3 linked regions of the Kluyveromyces lactis genome follow. The protein of the gene in region 2 interacts with the protein of the main gene of each other region in a biochemical or structural test. Links are inferred from orthologs where the notes say so. Each region holds a gene or a part of one and is shown on either strand. Other genes may lie near its edges. The genes, in order: RBL2, TUB2 and SHE1.

Region 1 (2,122 bases), on a different chromosome or scaffold from region 2:
ATATAATAACTCAGATTGGTTAATGATGTTTCAACTAGAAACAATCCTTATGTATCATCTTGATACTTAACCGCCTATTACATTGGTAGTTACCCGGTCATGCGTTATGACTAGTTCGCAACAATAATCTAGCTCGCATGAGTGATGCAAGTTTTTTCTTTTTTAATTAAGATCTGTTCTAATAGTGTAGTGGCTATCACGTTGCCTTCACACGGCAAAGGTCCTGAGTTCGAACCTCAGTTGGAACATTTTTTTGCTGATTCTCAAAGCTCGAACATAATTAAATGGACTTTAACAAGTTGCTATTCTCTCTCCCGTTGATAACTGATTACTAACAGGTTTCTTTTCTGCTTGATGTTGCTTCATCTTGGTGGTGTTTGTTAGTTGGGTCTTTCGCTAACTCTTCAAGATATTCTCTTCTTTTCGACTTTAAAATTCATTTTCGGGCCTCAAAATGATATTTCAATTAGTACCATACTAATATTACTAACGATATCAAATATATCCACAGTTTCAATGCATGGAGGACTTAAAAACTATACAGTATACACAATTACTATACCTAGTTCTTCAAAAGTTCATCAGCAGTTTCAAGCGCGGCCTTTGCAGACTCTAAATCCTCTGTACCCTCGTATGAGCTTAGGTATTTATCGAGGTCATCCCTAAATTGTTTGATCTTTTTATACAATTCTGGAAGTAGCCTTTCTGTATCTTGTTGCACTTCAACTTGCTTCTTTAGATCATATGGATCTACTGATGGATCTGATTGTAATTTTTTGACATGGAGTTTCTGTTGTTCAAGCTCTTCTTGATAGAAATGTTCCTCTTTGCATAATCTCTTGAGTGCTCGTTCTTTGATTTCTAGTTGTGTAGGCGCCATTGTGTATGCAATTTATCAACCTGTGGCAAACAAGATCTGGTATCACGGTTCAATTCTTGCTCATAAACAATGTTAATAAGGTTCAGAAAAGATGAAGGCACTTCGACCATAGTACTGTCGTGAAGTTATTGTTTTCCATTAGGATTTCAGTATTTATGATTTTGAGAAACCGTAAACGGTAAAAATAGAAAGCAGATTCACTCTGCTTGATAGGGTAATACGACCCAAGGTAGAACAAAAACATAAGTGATGTTATATCTTACGATCACGGTTTGTACGTATAATTGGGTATTTTCATTGTTTTAAATGCAGTGTATACAGCTAGGTATAGCTATATACTTTGTTACTCAATCGTAATCGTCGAATTCGTTATTCGAACTGATTACTTGTAGCAGATTGAAGGGAATAAATGCTGCTTGTAGTATCGTCAACGATCTTTGTGGAGTAGTTGTCAGAAATATCTATGTATTCAGCAGAAGGGGAGTCTGTGACGGTCACTTCTTCAACCTCTTCGTCCGAAAATCCGAGCATATCAGTGATATTTAGAACTTTTGGATTAATGGCAGTCAATCCAGCATTCCTTATGGAAAAGTGTCTGCTCATTAAGGAAGTTTCTGAGGTAGTAGATGGACTGTTGATATCTTTCGTAATTTCCTCTGAACAACTGTAAAAAGATTCATCACTTACACTAACTGGTGACTTAAACCCCAGAGCTAAGGAATCCAGATCTGAAAACTCCTCACCACCACTACTTTGATCCGACCCACCTGAAGTAACGTATTCTGGAGTGGAGATGTTGGCTTCCAAATTTTCAGTAGGACTTAACTCTGGTGTATTTGGTAGCTTCAGGCAATCAACATAGCCTGGGCTGCTCTTATTTATTATTATTGGTGACATATCAACAGCTTTGTGCGTCCTATCCTTTTCCCTTGAGGCCTTGTGGTTCTGTAAAGATTCATGAATGGTATCAATAAAATCATCAATTCTCTTCTTAATTATGGGCGAATCTTCCGTACTTACATCTCTGTTAGTGTACAGATTCATAATTTCATCCAACAGCAAATCACTGTTGCTATTACGCTCACGATATTTTAAGAAAGGTCTGTTATCAAAATCCTCGGGGTTTGTAGAAGTTGCTGAACCAAGCACGGCAGATGGTGCGATTATTTCAGTGGTAACTGGCATCACAATATAACTATTCTCTTTGCGCACATTGATAATTGGTTCTTGAGATAATGGCGA
Region 2 (3,326 bases):
AACGTGTGACCAAGGAACCAATAGAACTGAGGCTGTTTCAACTTCGTACGGAACACAGCACTCAGAGGGGCTACAGGTCTCTGAGCAGGCCTGTTGCCTCCATTTTGACCGGCAGCATTGGAATAACGATTACCACTGCCATTGCCACTTCCCTCAGACATCTTCTTGAAAAGAAAACCTTTAAAATGAAACCTTAGTAACTAACTCACGAAAGTTCTTTTGGAGACGAGATAATCAACTGCTATTGAGCCGCTAAGTTAAGAGTTCACAATCAACGATGACAAAAACACCTTGAAAAGCTAAATATGTAAACAGCTTTCGTCTTCAATACACAATCAGTTAATCAATTGATAGCCAAAAATATAAGAAAAAAAAAAAAAAAAGAGACCTGCTAACCTGATCCGATTCGATTCGGTTCGAAATAGAATACCGTAGCTTAATCAAAGTAACCTTCCGATTACTATATACATAAAAATGTAGCACTGGACAGATCAATTCCAACTAGTCAAACCCTCTTTCGCTTCTCCAACTAATAGGTTTCCTTCTCTTAACAAACTGTACTGGACGTTTTTTCCCTCTTTAAATTTCCTAATCCTGAAATCCGTTTCTCTTTAAATTTTCACATCGTCTTTAAATGTCAGCTAGAATCGAAAGTTAGGGAAAATTGCAGTATTCCAGTTTCCGTATGATTCTATCATATACGGAAAGTCAGCTGTGAAGAAAATGATCCGAGAAAATAGTCTGTTCAGTCTTTGGACTCATGGAACACTTCGACAACTATTCTAAATCTTAGGGGAATGTGTTGCTCACTTGCAACCTCAACTCTTGTCTTTAGATGAACTGACACTACGCAGGAATTCACACATCACAGTCACGTGCAAATCACGCGATGTAAGTTTCCGTTTCCCGTATTACCCGCACACTTAGCAACCCACAAAGGGAAATAGACGTGCTCGAAAATTGCCTAAAGAAGTGAAACAAAGATCAAAATACAAACAAAGATATGAGGAAAGAGAAGGAGGAAAAAAATAAACAAATAAAAACAAATAAATAAACAATTTAAAGTGGTTAAATAAGTGAACACAGACGTGATTGTGAACAGGCTTGCACGGGTTAGAGATAACTTTATAGATAACAGCTGTGAGAACTCGTCTATTTCGATTTGTTAGTTTGTTTGTTTAATATACTGTGGACAAGACTACTATTTTTACCCATATTATATTTCACTTTTTTCTTGTAAAGGACAGAGAGATCGCATAATTATTTTTTTTTCTTGAAAGAACAAGGATCAACAATTACTGGATTATAGATACCCCTCGATTGTATCAACACCAAGTCTTTCTACAATTTGCCTGTGCTGTGTTTCTTCAATTGTCATTTTTTGAGATCAGATCAATAACGCGCTCAGAGATATTCTAAAACATGAGAGAGATCATTCATTTGTCCACAGGTCAATGTGGTAACCAAATTGGTGCTGCGTTTTGGGAAACTATTTGTGGTGAACACGGTTTGGATTTTGAAGGTAACTATCACGGTATCGATGATATTCAAAAGGCTAGATTGAACGTTTACTTTAACGAAGCCTCTTCTGGTAAATGGGTTCCAAGATCCGTTAACATTGATTTGGAACCTGGTACCATTGATGCTGTACGTAACTCTAAGATTGGTACTTTGTTCAGACCAGATAACTACATTTTCGGTCAATCTTCAGCAGGTAACGTGTGGGCTAAAGGTCATTACACTGAGGGTGCTGAATTGGTGGATTCTGTCATGGACGTTGTCAGACGTGAAGCTGAAGGTTGTGACTCTTTGCAAGGTTTCCAAATCGCCCATTCCCTTGGTGGTGGTACCGGTTCTGGTATGGGTACTTTGTTGATCTCTAAGATCAGAGAAGAATTCCCTGACAGAATGATGGCTACTTTCTCCGTTGTCCCATCCCCAAAGACTTCAGATACCGTTGTAGAACCATACAATGCCACTCTATCTGTACACCAATTAGTCGAACACGCTGATGAAACTTTCTGTATCGATAATGAAGCCCTTTACGATATATGTCAAACTACTCTAAAATTACCACAACCAGATTATGCGAACTTGAACCATTTAGTTTCAAGTGTCATGTCTGGTGTCACTACATCCCTACGTTACCCAGGTCAATTGAACTCAGATCTAAGAAAATTGGCCGTGAATTTGGTGCCCTTCCCAAGATTACACTTCTTCATGGTTGGTTATGCTCCATTAACCTCGATTGGTGCCCAATCTTTCAGATCCCTATCTGTATCAGAATTGACCCAACAAATGTTCGATTCAAGAAATATGATGGCTGCATCTGATCCAAGAAACGGAAGGTACTTGACTGTTGCTGCATTCTTCCGTGGTAAAGTAAGCGTGAAAGAAGTTGAAGATGAAATGCATAAGGTTCAAACTAGAAACTCGTCGTACTTCGTAGAATGGATTCCAAACAACGTGCAAACAGCCGTCTGTTCTGTACCTCCAAAGGACTTAGACATGTCTGCTACTTTCATTGGTAACTCTACATCCATCCAAGAATTATTCAGAAGGGTCGGAGATCAATTTAGTGTTATGTTCAAGAAGAGAGCTTTCTTGCATTGGTATACTAATGAAGGTATGGAAGAAATTGAATTTTCTGAAGCTGAATCTAACATGAATGACTTAGTAAGTGAATACCAACAATATCAAGATGCTACTGTTGAAGATGACGAAGAATTGGAATTCGTTGACGAACAACCAATGGCTGAAAACTTCGAGTAAAGAATATAAAGGAAAACTTCAGCAGGAAAAAAAAAGGAATAAGGAACAAAGATCAGATGTGTACAGAAGATAAGTTTATCATTTTGAGAGCAGTACCACTGAAAGCAAATTATTTGGACACGAGATAAACAATAAACAATGTACTTCAGAAAGATATTTTCTTTCTTCTTATAGTTTTCCTTTCGTTACTTCTACTATTCTAATACTATTCCCCACACCACTAGTAGAAGCGGAAAATTTCGAAATATGATACCACCCTTACTATAATTTATATGCTTTTTGTTTCTCTGCTCAATGATATGTACTATCAATGTGACCCAAAACATTTCTTTAGTATTTGTTTCTATTTTTTTTTAATAATATCATATCTTACTACATAATTTTAGTCTTCACATTATAATACGTGATTCTTCATGATATATTTGACTCAGATGTCAACACAGTAGTATGTGAATGTTTCAATGACTTATCCTCTTCCCCAGGCCTGATCAATCATTTCACAGATCAACGAAACATACCAAGAACAAAAAGAAATAAATTTTTCACAATAGTAC
Region 3 (3,150 bases), on a different chromosome or scaffold from region 2:
GGAAACAAATTGGTAATTTGAGATTAATCTGTACCAACCCACAGATTTCGTCAGTCATTGGCCAACAAGGTGCCAAGATTAAGAAATTGATTGAAACGCATACTGTTAAACTCGTTGCCTCGAAACATTTCTTGCCCGATTCTAAGGATAGAGTATTGGAGATTCAAGGGTTCCCTACCTCGGTTGCCAACTGTATCAACGAAATCGCAGAACTGTTCATTCAAGACGACGTCCATGTACCTCCAAGAACTTTGCCCCGTTACTATCCTCATTCTAAACATACAAAAGAGATCCAAGTGTCTCAAACGTTGGCTATTCCAAAAGAATTTGTAGGTGCACTTTTGGGAGTTGGTGGTAACCGTATTGCCAACTTGAGAAAATTCACAAAGACTAAGATCGTCATCGGTCAAGATCCAACTGAAAATGGTGACAGAATCTTTACGGTTTGGGGTAACGACCAAAAATCCGTCAAATTGGCTCAGACAATGTTGTTAAAGAACTTGGAAGTTGAAAAGAAGAGACGTGAAGAACACGAAGCCTCTTTGAAGGATGGTTCATCTGTTCCTGCTGCTGCTGCTGCTTCCGCCGCCACTTCTATTTCTGCTTCAGGGGCTAACCAAAATGACTCTATTCATACTCCAGTCTCCGATAATGAATCTCCTGTCGTATTTACAGAATAATTAGTTTACGCTTTTCCACCTTTTGAAAGAAGTTAAAACTACATTATAATAGTATTTTTTTTTATTTCGGGCGGGTTGTTTCTTTACCTGTATCTCATCCACCCAACTCACTACACTCCAAAAGACTAGACTGGCTTACTACGATATCTTCTTTCCCAACCACCTCTTTCGCACAGAGAAGCAGAGATGTTATTTGCCGCGTGTCTAACGAGAAAGCGATTGCTCAAAGACGAAGCGTTTATTGGAAATACGACACCAGTTCACTCTTGATTTCGAAATCAAGGTTCCTGTATATTCCAATTTGCTTCCAATATACTTGCTTCGTCCTATAGTCACCTTTCTTCCCTATCAGACACTCATTATTTTCGACCTTTGTCTTTCTCCAGTAGAGAGAATTCAAATCCTAATAAAAGCATCATCCATTTCTGTTGGCTGTTTATGCTCTCGTTTGTGTGTCGATTTATGTAAATCAGACTTTTTATGTAACAGTATATCCACAATCTATTTTTTTCAAAACGAAACCTTCTTCTCGTTTCCTTTAAACCGTTCCTTTACTTCGTTTAACACCATCTCATCTCCTCTGCCTCTTCTGATTCATTTGGGAAACCAAAACATCAAAACAATAACATTAAAAATGGAAAAATTGTAAAGATCGACTTTAAGATTTAATAAACAGGGCAAAGTGGTTGAGACAAAGAGCATTCTGAACGTTACTGCAACCCATTGGGCACTCACATCACAGCGTTTGTCTGTATAGAAACGAATACTGCATATTAGTACCATTATTTTCTCATTGTATACACCATGGACAAGGAAAATATGCCACCTTTATTGGATGGCCATCAAATGATTGAATACATCGGTGTGTCAAAAAGATTAGGGAACAATGTCTTACAGGAGCTGGAACAACGTGCCAGTAACCTTCTACCGAACGTGTCACCAGAAAAGACCCGTTTGATGCATCTGGGCCATGATTCAGAGATGAAGAATTCGATTTCAATGAAGTTTCAGGATAAACATGAAAAACGGTTCCAGGTGATGGACTCTATCGATACCCATTACTCGCTGGCTAAGTACTCTGGTATGCCTCAGACACCAGGGAAGAGGAAAAATGGGTCAGACGCGGATGAGACAAGTGTTGCTGTGAATTTAGGTTCACCAGGATCTGTAAAGAAGAAACAGAAATCCGTAGGAAATGTGTTCAGTCCGGTTACTGATATAACGCATAGGATCAGGAGGTTAAGGGTACGCATTACGACGCCCAATGAAAGGGAAAGAACTGAGCGTGATCGTAGAAGAAATATAATAAGCAACACGCCGTTATCGAGACAGCGACAGCTCCATGAAAGTATCCCTACTTTCGCACAACCTACAGCTACGTCACTGAAACGGAAACAGATGAACAATCCTTTACACAAGCTGGTGGCTAGTGACAACAACAATGTGGAATCGCAACCCAAACCGAAACCAGCAAAACCAAGACACGGTGATATATTCAGGAATTTGAACCAATCGGAGAAGCAGGCCTCACATCCGAGAAGTGCGCCGGTACCCAAACAACAACGTATTCCTCAATCTAAATCCGTATTTGAAAGGCTATATGAACAATCCACGATATCCAGATCCAATTCGTCTAAAAATTTACTGAAACAGGAGAAAACTACTAGTAGCGATGGTAACACATCGCAAATACCAAGATCCAAGACACAACATGATTTACATGGAGGTATGAAAAATGCAAGACTAACGAAATCGACAACGCTGCAAAACGTTGCACTAGATAGACCTCAGTGGAGGTAAGTAAGGAATAAATAGACTCTTTATAAAGATAATCATGAATGTTAATTTGTTATGTTACGTGAAAGTAGAAATCTATATAATAATGATCAAGCGTCATGATCAAACAATGAAAACAACAGAATGAAAGAGCAAAAAAAAAAAACACAACCAAGGCAAAGTAAACGTGAAACGGGGGAATAAATTTACAGAATATTTATTGAGATAGCAAAGAATATTAATCCTCACAGTCTGGAATCTTTTTGCTCCTTCTTTGACAACGATTTTCAGTTTTGTTTTTCTTTTAGTTTGCCATTTTGATTCATTAGCGTTCCATGAGTATGTTAACTTTTTTGTTTTTATGACGATGACATTTTAGAAAAAGATTGTTAATTCATTATTGAGAATATCTGAAGGAATTTAAACCCCCCAGAAATAGCCAACATTAGAGTTCGTATCCTTTGAGAATGTGGGGGATAGATTCAATTTTTTTTTTCTGAACGGAAAGGTGAGTTAAAATAAGCAATAAAAAAATTAAAAGGAAAGAAGTTTACTTCTAATTTGCTTATTTGAAAGTCTTACCGAACAAGATAACTTGCAATTGATCGTACATGGAGATAACACCGGCACCGGCGACACCTCTCAAGATGTTAGCACCACAACCCTTGAACAAGGACTTGATACCTTCAGCAGC

The links.
Region 1: the proteins of TUB2 (region 2) and RBL2 form a complex in vitro, tested with the Saccharomyces cerevisiae proteins (3 studies listed by BioGRID). The link is inferred for Kluyveromyces lactis from reciprocal best matches to the Saccharomyces cerevisiae genes TUB2 and RBL2.
Region 3: the proteins of TUB2 (region 2) and SHE1 form a complex in vitro, tested with the Saccharomyces cerevisiae proteins (2 studies listed by BioGRID). The link is inferred for Kluyveromyces lactis from reciprocal best matches to the Saccharomyces cerevisiae genes TUB2 and SHE1.

Annotation. Positions count from the first base shown.
Region 1 is NC_006039.1:823,418-825,539, forward strand, and holds RBL2 (Rbl2p), read right to left. Parts: upstream 881-2,122; coding exon 563-880; downstream 1-562. Other genes in the region: DSE3 (Dse3p), read right to left, coding at 1,250-2,122. UniProt on the Saccharomyces cerevisiae protein: Tubulin-folding protein; involved in the early step of the tubulin folding pathway.
Region 2 is NC_006040.1:454,707-458,032, reverse strand, and holds TUB2 (beta-tubulin), read left to right. Parts: upstream 1-1,422; coding exon 1,423-2,772; downstream 2,773-3,326. Other genes in the region: PER33 (Per33p), read right to left, coding at 1-161. UniProt on the Saccharomyces cerevisiae protein: Tubulin is the major constituent of microtubules, a cylinder consisting of laterally associated linear protofilaments composed of alpha- and beta-tubulin heterodimers.
Region 3 is NC_006041.1:1,089,282-1,092,431, forward strand, and holds SHE1 (She1p), read left to right. Parts: upstream 1-1,484; coding exon 1,485-2,480; downstream 2,481-3,150. Other genes in the region: HEK2 (Hek2p), read left to right, coding at 1-680; ADP/ATP carrier protein PET9, read right to left, coding at 3,022-3,150.